3 linked regions of the Macaca mulatta genome follow. The protein of the gene in region 1 interacts with the protein of each later gene in a biochemical or structural test. Links are inferred from orthologs where the notes say so. Each region holds a gene or a part of one and is shown in the gene's direction. Other genes may lie near its edges. The genes, in order: CHML, RAB1A and RAB5A.

Region 1 (3,831 bases):
ATTTTTAATATATAGGTTTTCCTCCTCAGGCCTATTCTGTTATGAGCCTAAATATTTTTAAATGGCCAGTTGTTTTACTGAATTAATCCTTTTATTATAATCTTACTAGTAATTGAGTAGAAATAGTCTCATGTTGCTATCATGAGATCCTAAGGTGGTTGTGGCATGAAAAGGTCTTATATTCAGCTATTCGGGAATCACACACAGACTGTAATGGCCACAGAAATATTTTTAATCATGGCAGTATGTACCTAATGTATAATCTGTTTCTATAAACAATGGAGCCATACGTTCCTTTTAGTCTAAGCTCACAGCTGTGTATAGATTTATTCACATGATAGTTTTCTTAAAAGCTAAAGTTAGAGAATTGTATTATGTTATTTCTTCTTTATTTTTGTGGAACATTATGTTCATTCTCTATTACTATGTTGCCTGATTCTTGGGAGGGCTGTTATATCTCTATTGTCCATTTTCAAGAAATTAGAAAATATGTGAGAAAGCATTTAAGACATGCTTTAGTGGAGGTTTATGTCCAAATAAGAAGTCATACTCCAATGGATTGTCATTGTTGCATGAAATTATTTTTCTCTTATATTGTTTACAATGTATTCTTTCTTGAATTTTCTTCTTTCAGAGAAGAGTTCCAGTCACAAATGCATATATGATGCATTTTGACATTTACTGCTAAGATGAAATACAGAAATGAAACCACACATCCATTTTAGTATTCTCAGATGTGATTAGATGTACTTGCTCATGTTTTTATGCTACTGACTTATAAGGAAAAAAATATATTTTAAAAGGGTAACTGTTAAAACAGCTAGGACCTGCAACTTCATTGCTTCTGGGATAAACTGGAACATCAGAAGGACAGATTTTATTACAGCATAATCCCACCTCATTTCTTTCATCAGCAACTGTCACCAGACACTTTTACTTCCTAGAATGGCGGACAGTCTTCCCACAGAGTTTGATGTGGTTATAATAGGGACAGGTTTGCCCGAATCCATCCTTGCAGCTGCATGTTCAAGAATTGGTCAGAGGGTTCTGCATATTGATTCAAGAAGTTACTATGGAGGCAACTGGGCTAGTTTCAGCTTTTCAGGATTGCTAACCTGGTTGAAGGAGCATCAGCAAAACAATGACATTGGGGAAGAAAGTACTGTTGAATGGCAGGACCTGATCCATGAAACAGAAGAAGCCATCTCTCTTCGCAAGAAGGATGAAACTATCCAACACACAGAAGCTTTTTGTTATGCCAGTCAGGATATGGAGGACAATGTTGAAGAGGTTGGTGCTCTGCAGAAAAATCCTTCTTCAGGGGTGTCTAGTACCTTCACTGAAGTTCTGGATTCCGCAGGCTTGCCTGAAGACAGCCAGTCATCAAATTTTAATAGCGATGAAATGTCTGCCAAACACACTCAGAAAAGTGATAGAGAGATTTCACTGGAAGTAACTGATGTAGAGGAATCAGTGGAGAAGGAAAAGTATTGTGGAGATAAAACTTGTATGCACACAGTTTCAGATAAAGATGGAAATAAAGATGAAAGCAAATCTACAGTAGAAGATAATGCCAATCAACCAATTAGAAATAGGATTACTTACCTTCAAATAGTTAAAGAAGGGAGGAGGTTTAATATTGATTTGGTATCAAAACTGCTATATTCTCAAGGATTGCTAATTGATCTTTTAATCAAATCAGATGTTAGTCGTTACGTAGAATTCAAAAATGTCACTAGGATTCTTGCATTTCGGGAAGGAAAGGTAGAACAAGTGCCTTGTTCCAGAGCAGATGTCTTTAATAGCAAGGAACTCACCATGGTTGAAAAGAGGATGCTAATGAAATTTCTCACATTTTGTTTAGAGTATGAACAACATCCTGATGAATACCAAGCTTTCAGGCAGTGTTCATTTTCAGAATACTTAAAAACTAAAAAACTAACTCCCAACCTTCAACATTTTGTACTGCACTCAATTGCAATGACATCAGAATCATCTTGCACTACAATAGATGGCCTTAACGCAATTAAAAACTTCCTTCAGTGTCTCGGACGGTTTGGCAACACTCCCTTTTTATTTCCCTTGTATGGCCAAGGAGAAATTCCCCAATGTTTCTGTAGGATGTGTGCAGTTTTTGGTGGAATCTATTGTCTTCGTCATAAAGTACAATGCTTTGTAGTCGACAAAGAATCTGGACGATGTAAAGCAATTATAGATCACTTTGGTCAAAGAATAAATGCTAAATATTTTATTGTGGAAGACAGTTACCTTTCTGAGGAAACATGCTCAAATGTGCAGTATAAGCAGATCTCTAGGGCAGTACTCATTACAGATCAGTCTATACTAAAGACAGATTCAGATCAGCAGACTTCCATTCTGATAGTTCCTCCAGCAGAGCCAGGAGCTTGTGCTGTACGGGTCACTGAATTATGTTCTTCAACCATGACATGCATGAAGGACACCTATCTGGTACATTTGACATGTTCATCTTCTAAAACAGCAAGAGAAGACTTAGAATCAGTGGTGAAGAAATTATTCACTCCATATACTGAAACAGAAATAAACAAGGAAGAACTTACAAAGCCAAGACTCTTGTGGGCTCTTTATTTTAATATGAGAGATTCCTCGGGAATCAGCAGAAGCTCATATAATGGCTTGCCTTCCAATGTTTATGTCTGCTCTGGGCCTGACTGTGGCCTGGGAAATGAGCATGCCGTCAAGCAAGCTGAAACACTTTTCCAGGAGATCTTTCCAACTGAAGAATTCTGCCCTCCACCTCCAAATCCAGAAGACATTATCTTTGATGGCGATGATAAGCAGCCAGAGTCTTCTGGAACCAATAATGTAATAGTGGCCACACTAGAGTCCTCTGAGGAAGGCAAAAACCAAGAAAGCCCAGAGAAGCACCTTCAAAATTAGAAAAGAGCAATCTGGAAATGCTGTTTTGGACCTCCTTCATGGCATCAGAATATTCTCATTTAAAGGACAGTTTCCCATATGAGTAATTAGAAGTGGTTATATATGTTGAATGCTATGCAGATGTTGTCTTTAACTCTCAGACATTCAGCATTGAATATCTTTGTTAACCTATCAATGAGTGATTTATTGATTATTGAACATTTTGTTTAGAATGGGCTACATGACCCATAATCTTAAAACAGAGTTAGCTGTATTTTAGTATTGGGTATGTATGTAAGGGTTCCATATTAACAACTCAGCTTAAAGGTAATGTTGTATTTGCTAATGATCTTCAGATTTTATCTTTGTCTACAGAACAATTAGTAATACCCAAGTAATAATTACTTTCACAGCTATTATAGTTGCTGCGGCCTGTTCGAATAGTGAAACACACACAAATGGTAAATTATGTGGATCTTTTGCATATAATATAAATGTATAGACATGGTGGTAGGAATAGCAACTAATACAAATGCCAATATGATAATAAAATACGTTTGTCTATAATCGTTAAAAGATTAGCTTTGCATGATGCTTTATTCATTGTGAAGGTCTGAAGTTTATAATACCCACTTCACTCTTGTAACTGATGAGGCAATGACGCCACCACAGTGTTCTGATTTACAAAAAGAATTGGAGTTCAATTAGTAGTTGAAAAACTCATTTTGGGGAGGTTGATTGCAAAGAAAATTTGAAGGATAAGATTTATTCTCATTTAATACTTCAGAAAATTTCTGCAGAGCCCTGCTTTGGCACTTAAAGAGCTTCCAACAAGTAACTTAGACCAAAAGGAAAAATGAAGTGCCCCAGGAGAAGATACTTCATAAGGGCTGTTCTGAAATTCCTAAGGAGAAACAGAGTGAAGCCTTTTTA
Region 2 (3,600 bases), on another chromosome or scaffold:
GCTCTGGGCTGTGCCTCTCCCATCCATGGGATGTGGAGCCATTGAAGGTTGTGGGGTCACGATGGAGTTGCTGTCTCAGAAAGATACATTCGACTGTGTGTGCAAATGGGCTGGGGCGGAGGAGAGAGAGAGAGGTAGAGTCCATCTGGAGACTACTGCAATAGCCAGGCTGACGAGAGCGGGGCACAGTAAGAATGGGAAGAAATCCAATAAGAAAATGGTAGTGCGCGGGGCCAACAATGGACGATGACCGAATAGAGGTGGGTCTGGGTGAGTGACGAGAAGTAAAGAACTGCTCCGTGCTGTCCAGGGAGCCCCTTGACTTCCCTTCTGTCCTTAGAGCGGACGTCCTCCGACCAGCCTCCAACCAGCGCCACCAGGGTGGCGCAAGCCTCAAGCTGGTCAGGTCAGCAAAAGTCGCATGGGAGGCAGGAGCCGACACGCGTGTCCCCCGACCCCCTCTCCGCTCCCGCACGCCGGCAGTCCCTCAGTTTGACCACTCCCTCCGGTCCTTTGCCTCCCGCGACCCCCAGCCTCCGTCGGCCGCCTGCACCACCCTCCGCCCCTCTCCGCCCCCTCCTCCGTGGGGCGCTGACTCGCCCGGCTGCCACGTCTCACTGATGACATCACCAGGGCCGCTCGGTCTTAGCCAATCCGCCAGGGGGAGTCCGAGCGAAGTCCTAGCCAGCGAGTCAGAGGGGAGGGGAACAGGGAGGGGCGGAGGGTGGGGAGGTGAGGGAGTGGGGAATGGGGCGGACGACAACCCTTCAAGTACGCATGCCCCAGAGGCGCGGCGCTTGGCGGGAAGCTGAGTCCTGGCCTCAGCGCCTCACTGTCTATCCTCAGCTCGCGTAGCTGCACTCGCGACTCCCTTTCCCGGCATGCCAGGCGGTGCGGCCGCCCTCTGGGCTGTGTAAAGGCCCCTCGGTCTAAGGCTTCCCTATTTCCTGGTTCGCCGGCGGCCATTTTGGGTGGAAGCGATAGCTGAGTGGCGGCGGCTGCTGATTGTGTTCTAGGGGACAGAGTAGGGGAAGACGTTTGCTCTCCCGGAACAGCCTATCTCATTCCTTTCTTTCGATTACCCGTGGCGCGGAGAGTCAAGGCAGCGGCTGCGGCAGCAAGGGCGGCGGTGGCGGCGGCGGCAGCTGCAGTGACATGTCCAGCATGAATCCCGAATAGTGAGTTCAGGAGAGCACCGGTCGGCTGGGTCCGTGGGCCAGCTTGGGGGATTTTAAAGGGGGCGAGGAGGGTTGGGGCGGAAGTCGGGGCATCGGCTGGGGTGAGGCGAGGGTGATGGGTCAGGAGAGGCTGGCGGCCGGGAGTCGGGCCCCATTGTCTGACGCGGAGGGGCGGCCGGGCGGGGGAGGGGTCGGGTCGGAGGGGTGAGCCGCCCGGGCCTGGACCGGGTCCGGTTGGAGGGCCTGACTGCGGGGCGGGTGCTTAGGAAGTCTGCCCAGGGGCCTGAGGCGGTGTGAAGAGGTAGCTTGTCTCGGAGGCAGTGACTTTTGAAGGAGGACTTGTTTCTAAGAGGAGGGGATGGGGTGGGAGAACCCTTCTAGAGGGCACTGGCAGACCCTGCGCCCGCACTCTGCGGAGCTGTCAGGATCCTCGGGGTGGAAACCAGCTTTACTTGTAAATCCTGAGCTTGTTGGCTCTCTCTTCTTCCATCCTCCCCGCCAGGTTTCAGGTAATATGGATGCTTTTCGGGACTGCGTGGGATTGAGGGGAATGAGTAGATAGGGAGAAGCAACTGAACATTTTTTAGTTCTCTTTTTGAGTTGTGCCTTGAACGAGTTCTTTAAGAGCTCGCCGGGTCCATTGCCCTCCTAAAAACCTGGGCATTTGTGAGTTTTTTTTTTTTTTTTTTTTTTTTTTTTTTTTTTTTTAAAGAGGACACCTAAGTCATTTTGTCTTCTGTAGGTCAAGGGAAAAAAAACCCAAAAAAACAACTAAAGCCAAGGAGTGTGTTTCTGATACTCGCAGATTAAAGGAAGCTTGCTGTCAAGTTGAAAGAGAAACGAATGGGACCTATGATAGATCTGTATGTAGTTTTAGATTACCTGCTTGGATGCTTGCAGATAGGGAATGAGGTTCCATGACGTGTCATGAAAAGTTAATGCATTTCTTTTTCTTGCTTACTCAAGAAGTCACCACAGCAGATGTGACACACCTGGCACCTTTCCTGGGAACTGGTGTTCACTTCCTTTGGGTAGAGTTTGTTGGACTCTCCTCAGTGGCCATTTAAAAATTTCCTCTACAGTTTACATGTATGTAAAGTAATAAATAATTGTAAGAGACCGAATTGGTATTCCTTTTCAGTGTCAAAGGCCTTTGAGGGATGGGGGAAAATCAGTATTTGTTGTAAAAGTTGAGTTTATTTGCTGCTTTGGTCAATTACTGCTAAACATTTCCCCCTAAAAGGTCCACTCACCAGTTTAGCTGACTGTCATATGTGTGTCACATGGCTCTTGCAAAATGCTTTCTTCAAGTTTTGTAATACTGTGGCTTGATGCTGAAATCTCTTGCACTATACAGAAACCATAGTATTTTATTAGAATTTCATGCTTTAGAAGTTAAGGATAGTGTTGTTGTAGTGACATTTGCTGTGTTGACAGTTTAAAACAAATTTTTTTTTTCAAGGGCTCCAAGGACAAAGTTGGTTTTGCACAGTTGAATGGAGTTGAACTTGAGGTTCTTCATTTAGTAGTTTTCTTGGTAACAATAAAGAACATGGATTTACTGCTTTATCGAGGTTTATAGACCTCTACTGTTCAGGAAATTTTCTGAATTTGCTATATATATGTATGTTTATTACTATAAATAAATCTTCAAGATTAGTTGAGAACTTTGACAAGTTACTTAGCCTCTGAATTTTTTTCCCTTTTTGTAAAATAGGATAATTGGAGTCATTATTCCTGTCAGGGTAGTGGTGAAATTCAAATGTATATAAAAGAATTTGGAAAACTGTATGAGCATTCTTCAGGTTGTATGCATCATTTTCATGAAAGGCATTCTATTAGTACTAGGATTTAGAAATATAATCCTTGCATTTAAGAAGTTTAGATATAGGCCGGGCGCCGTGGCTTAGGTCAGTAATCCCAGCACTTTGGGAGGCCAAGGCGGGCGGATCCCGAGGTCAGGAGATCGAGACCATCCTGGCTAACACGGTGAAACCCCGCCTCTACTAAAAATACAAAAAAATTAGCCGGGCGTGGTGGTGGGCGCCTGTAGCTCCAGCTACTCAGTCTGAGGCAGGAGAATGGCGTGAACCCAGAAGGCGGAGCTTGCAGTGGGCCAAGATCGGGCCACTGCACTCCAGCCTGGGCGACAGAGCAAGACTCCGTCTCAAAGAAAAAAAAAAGAAAAAAAAAATAATTTTTTTTTTTTGAGAGGGAGTTTCAATCTTGTTGCCCAGGCTGGAGTGCAATGGCGCAAATCTTGTCTCATCGGCACCTCCGCCTCCTGGGTTCAAGTGATTCTCCTGCCTCAGCTTCCTGAGTAGCTGGGATTACAGGCATGTGCCACCACGCCCGGCAAATTTTGTATTTTTAGTAGAGACGGGGTTTCTCCATGTTGGTCAGGCTGGTCTCAAACTCCCGA
Region 3 (3,349 bases), on another chromosome or scaffold:
CCCAAAGCATAGATTGTAATTGTTCATTCTCAAAAATCCAACTCTTACCTATTTCCCCTTTATTTCAAGGCAGCTGATGGTTACTCTGCAAGGTGTAAGTTTCTCTTTTAAAAACTAAGAGGTCGAGCATGGTGGCTCATACTTGCAGTCTCAGCACGTGGAAGTCTGAGGCGGAAGGATTCCTTGAGCCCAAGAGTTCAAGACCAGCCTAGGCAACAAAGTGAGACCCCATCTCACTTTGGAACTCAGGGCTGCAGTGAGCCATGATCACACCACTGCGCTTCATCCTGGGTGACAGAGTGAGACCTGTCTCTTAAAAAAAAAGAGAGTGTGAGAGAGAAAATGTATATAGATGTTTTAAGGCCAAAGGCTGTGGAAGCCAGGAAGGAAATAGTAGATATGATCTATCATAATTCGGGGTGATAATTAGTTGCACAATAGAGGACAAGTTTTGTTGAGGTGATGATTACAATGGTATTTGTTTCTATCCTGACTTGTTCTAAAAAGCGTTTGTGGCAGCCTGGAGAATGCTGATATGAGCTGAGCTTCTTTATAAACTTACTGATAAGCTTACTGGCTGGCCATCATGTTTATTAACTTAGATTTTTTTTTAAATAGAAGTAATAATGAGGCCAGGCACCATGGCTCATGCCTATAATCCCGGCACTTTGGGAGGCCAAAGCAGGTGGATCACCTGAGGTCAGCAGTTCAAGATCAGCCTGGGCAACATGATGAAACCCCGTCTCTACTAAAAAACAAAAATTAGTTGGTCGTGGTGGGGCATGCCTATAATCCCAGCTACTCAGGAGGCCAGGGCACAATAATCGCTTGAACCCAGGAGGTGGAGGTTGCAGTGAGCTGAGATCACGCCATTGCACTCCAGCCTAGGTGAGCCTGGGTGACAGAGCGAGCCTCCATCTCAAAAAAAAGAAGAAGAAGAAGTAATAATGAGTATAAAATAAAATACAACTTTTCTGGTATTACTGAGTGAATCTGTGTAGAGAATTACATAAAGCACTAGTCAGGCTTAAGTTTTAATTGTGTCTACAGCCAGTCCCCATCTACCCTTCCCCCAACACAGTTACCCCAGAAATCAAACTCCCTAAGACAGCAACCAATGTTTTGGCATTTAATAGATAGTAAACATTTGAAAAGAATGAACATGTGGTTATATAATACTTTGGGGGTAACCTAACTGAAAAGAAAAATTACAAATAGCAGGTGAAACTGATACTAATATGACTATTCAAATATTCCATTTATTTGATCATTTTCTTTCAGCTAAAAAATTGCCAAAGAATGAACCACAAAATCCAGGAGCAAATTCTGCCAGAGGAAGAGGAGTAGACCTCACCGAACCCACACAACCAACCAGGAGTCAGTGTTGTAGTAACTAAACCTCTAGTTTGAACTAGCTGGAATAGTCTTCTGCTTCCTAAATGTTAATAACAATGGAATTGGAGCATTTAACCAGCCCAGTATGACTTCCAAAAGAAGAGACTTATGATAGAGTCAAGTTTCTAATACAGAATTATTTTAAGTGTTTTGAACTTAATTTTTAATAACATGCATGGGTCCTTCTCACTAATGTTTCAACAATAGGGAAAAAATGAGAACTATGTGGACACTTGTTTCATTGGAAGGTTAGGAGGAATGATTTCTCATCACTAGGAATATAGACAGATGACTGTCTGGACCCACACAGTTAACCAGCCCATTTCTCCACACTGGTACAGTAGTCACCTGTGAAAAAAAATTTGGATCTTACTAATTTGGGCTTTTCAAAAACGTCCTTTTTTTAGAAGGAGATTCTAAAGTTATTTATGATGCTTAGCCATAGTATTCAGGCAAATGTTCATTTCTCCTGGTATCTGTATTTAAAATGTACATTCCACATTTTAATAAATTAGCCACAAGAAAATAATCCCACATATACAAGGTCGGGGGGTGGGGAAGAGTATTAATGGTATCTTAATTATAGCCAGTCCCGTTTTTTTTTTAAATGGGGTAAAAATCAAATGCAATCCCATCTTGTTTTAAGAATTTGAGAACTAATAAATGCACCTTAATGGATAGTGTTCCTTTCAAACATGTGAGTTCTTTAACAAAAATGAAATAAACCAGGTGTCTGATTTCCGATTAATCACTGCTGGCCATTACATAGGTTTTGTTGTTTGGGGCAGGGAGGGGGCTTTTGTTCCCTTTTGACATAATATAGTCAATGCACTAACAATTATGTATATTCAAACTTGATTATTTTAAATTCGATCTTCAGCTGTACTGTAAATAGGGTACTGCATTGTAGTCTCCATATCTGTATTACTTTTCTGTAATATTTAAGAGTTGCTTAAAAGTATACAAAATGTACAGTTACTAAAATAGCTAATTATTTCTCTCTCCCCCTTGGACAAGAAGGGGCTTCAGTTGTTCCTCCATGGCTAGAACTATAATAAACAATGTACCCGTAATTTGTAACATAAAGTATTGCAATATGTTAGTAACAATCTTGCAGCCTTCTTTTCCAAAGTTCATTTTATTTTGATCAGTTCAGTATATTGCACTAATTATTTTAGGTATTTTCATTATATGAAAGCTACCATGTGTCAGAGATGATTTAGTCTATTTAAGTGTTGGACTGCTAGGAGAACTTGTACATTTACAATAATGCAGAATTAGGAAAACGGTTCACCAGTGTTTAGTTTTATATTGAGGTGCTCAGGTTGGAATAAAGTGGTATAAAAAGCAAGTATTGGTTTTTCTTTCTTTTTTTTTTTTTTGGCATAAAACAGTGAACATATATAAATGATATTATATGACCTAATATCTGCTTTTATATTTTCTTTACTGTGTTCATAAAATTGTTTGCATGTTATTGATGAATCGTCCTAATATCTGGATCATTCAAGAATTGCTTTATGGTATTATATTTTGGTGCTCTGGATAATTGGAACTTTTATTTTTTATGTCAGAAGCTGATACTCACTTCCATTGAGAAATATTACCATAACTGTAATGTTGTCTCTGGAGCCAGCCAGTAAAGCAGCATTTACAAGTTCATGGCTAACGTACTCAGCTGCACCTTCATAGAAACTCTTAGTGCCTGATTCTTTTTCATTTGTTGCCACACCATTGACACTAGTTGGGCTGTCAGTTACTTTTTCACTGCAAGGTTTATGATGAGTCGTTTCTGCTGGAAATGTTTCTACATTCTCAGGGTTATAAATGCAGTATTTAGAATAGTTTGAATCGGACAAATTTTCTTTGGAATTTGTAGTTGACACACATCCTTCAGATACAGATTTATACTGAAACAATACGTGGATGTTACTTTGTGATTTAGTAAGGTTTG

Evidence for each region.
Region 2: the proteins of CHML (region 1) and RAB1A form a complex in vitro, tested with the Homo sapiens proteins (2 studies listed by BioGRID). The link is inferred for Macaca mulatta from reciprocal best matches to the Homo sapiens genes CHML and RAB1A.
Region 3: the proteins of CHML (region 1) and RAB5A form a complex in vitro, tested with the Homo sapiens proteins (2 studies listed by BioGRID). The link is inferred for Macaca mulatta from reciprocal best matches to the Homo sapiens genes CHML and RAB5A.

What each region holds. Positions count from the first base shown.
Region 1 is NC_133406.1:7,462,359-7,466,189, forward strand, and holds CHML (rab proteins geranylgeranyltransferase component A 2), read left to right. Parts: upstream 1-945; coding exon 946-2,919; 3' UTR 2,920-3,474; downstream 3,475-3,831. UniProt on the Homo sapiens protein: Substrate-binding subunit (component A) of the Rab geranylgeranyltransferase (GGTase) complex. Binds unprenylated Rab proteins and presents the substrate peptide to the catalytic component B.
Region 2 is NC_133418.1:59,583,540-59,587,139, forward strand, and holds the start of RAB1A (ras-related protein Rab-1A), read left to right. Parts: upstream 1-974; 5' UTR 975-1,155; coding exon 1,156-1,178; intron 1,179-3,600. UniProt on the Homo sapiens protein: The small GTPases Rab are key regulators of intracellular membrane trafficking, from the formation of transport vesicles to their fusion with membranes.
Region 3 is NC_133407.1:28,577,233-28,580,581, reverse strand, and holds the end of RAB5A (ras-related protein Rab-5A), read left to right. Parts: intron 1-1,279; exon of another isoform or gene 1,280-1,281; coding exon 1,282-1,397; 3' UTR 1,398-2,731; downstream 2,732-3,349. Other genes in the region: PP2D1 (protein phosphatase 2C-like domain-containing protein 1), read right to left, coding at 2,961-3,349. UniProt on the Homo sapiens protein: The small GTPases Rab are key regulators of intracellular membrane trafficking, from the formation of transport vesicles to their fusion with membranes.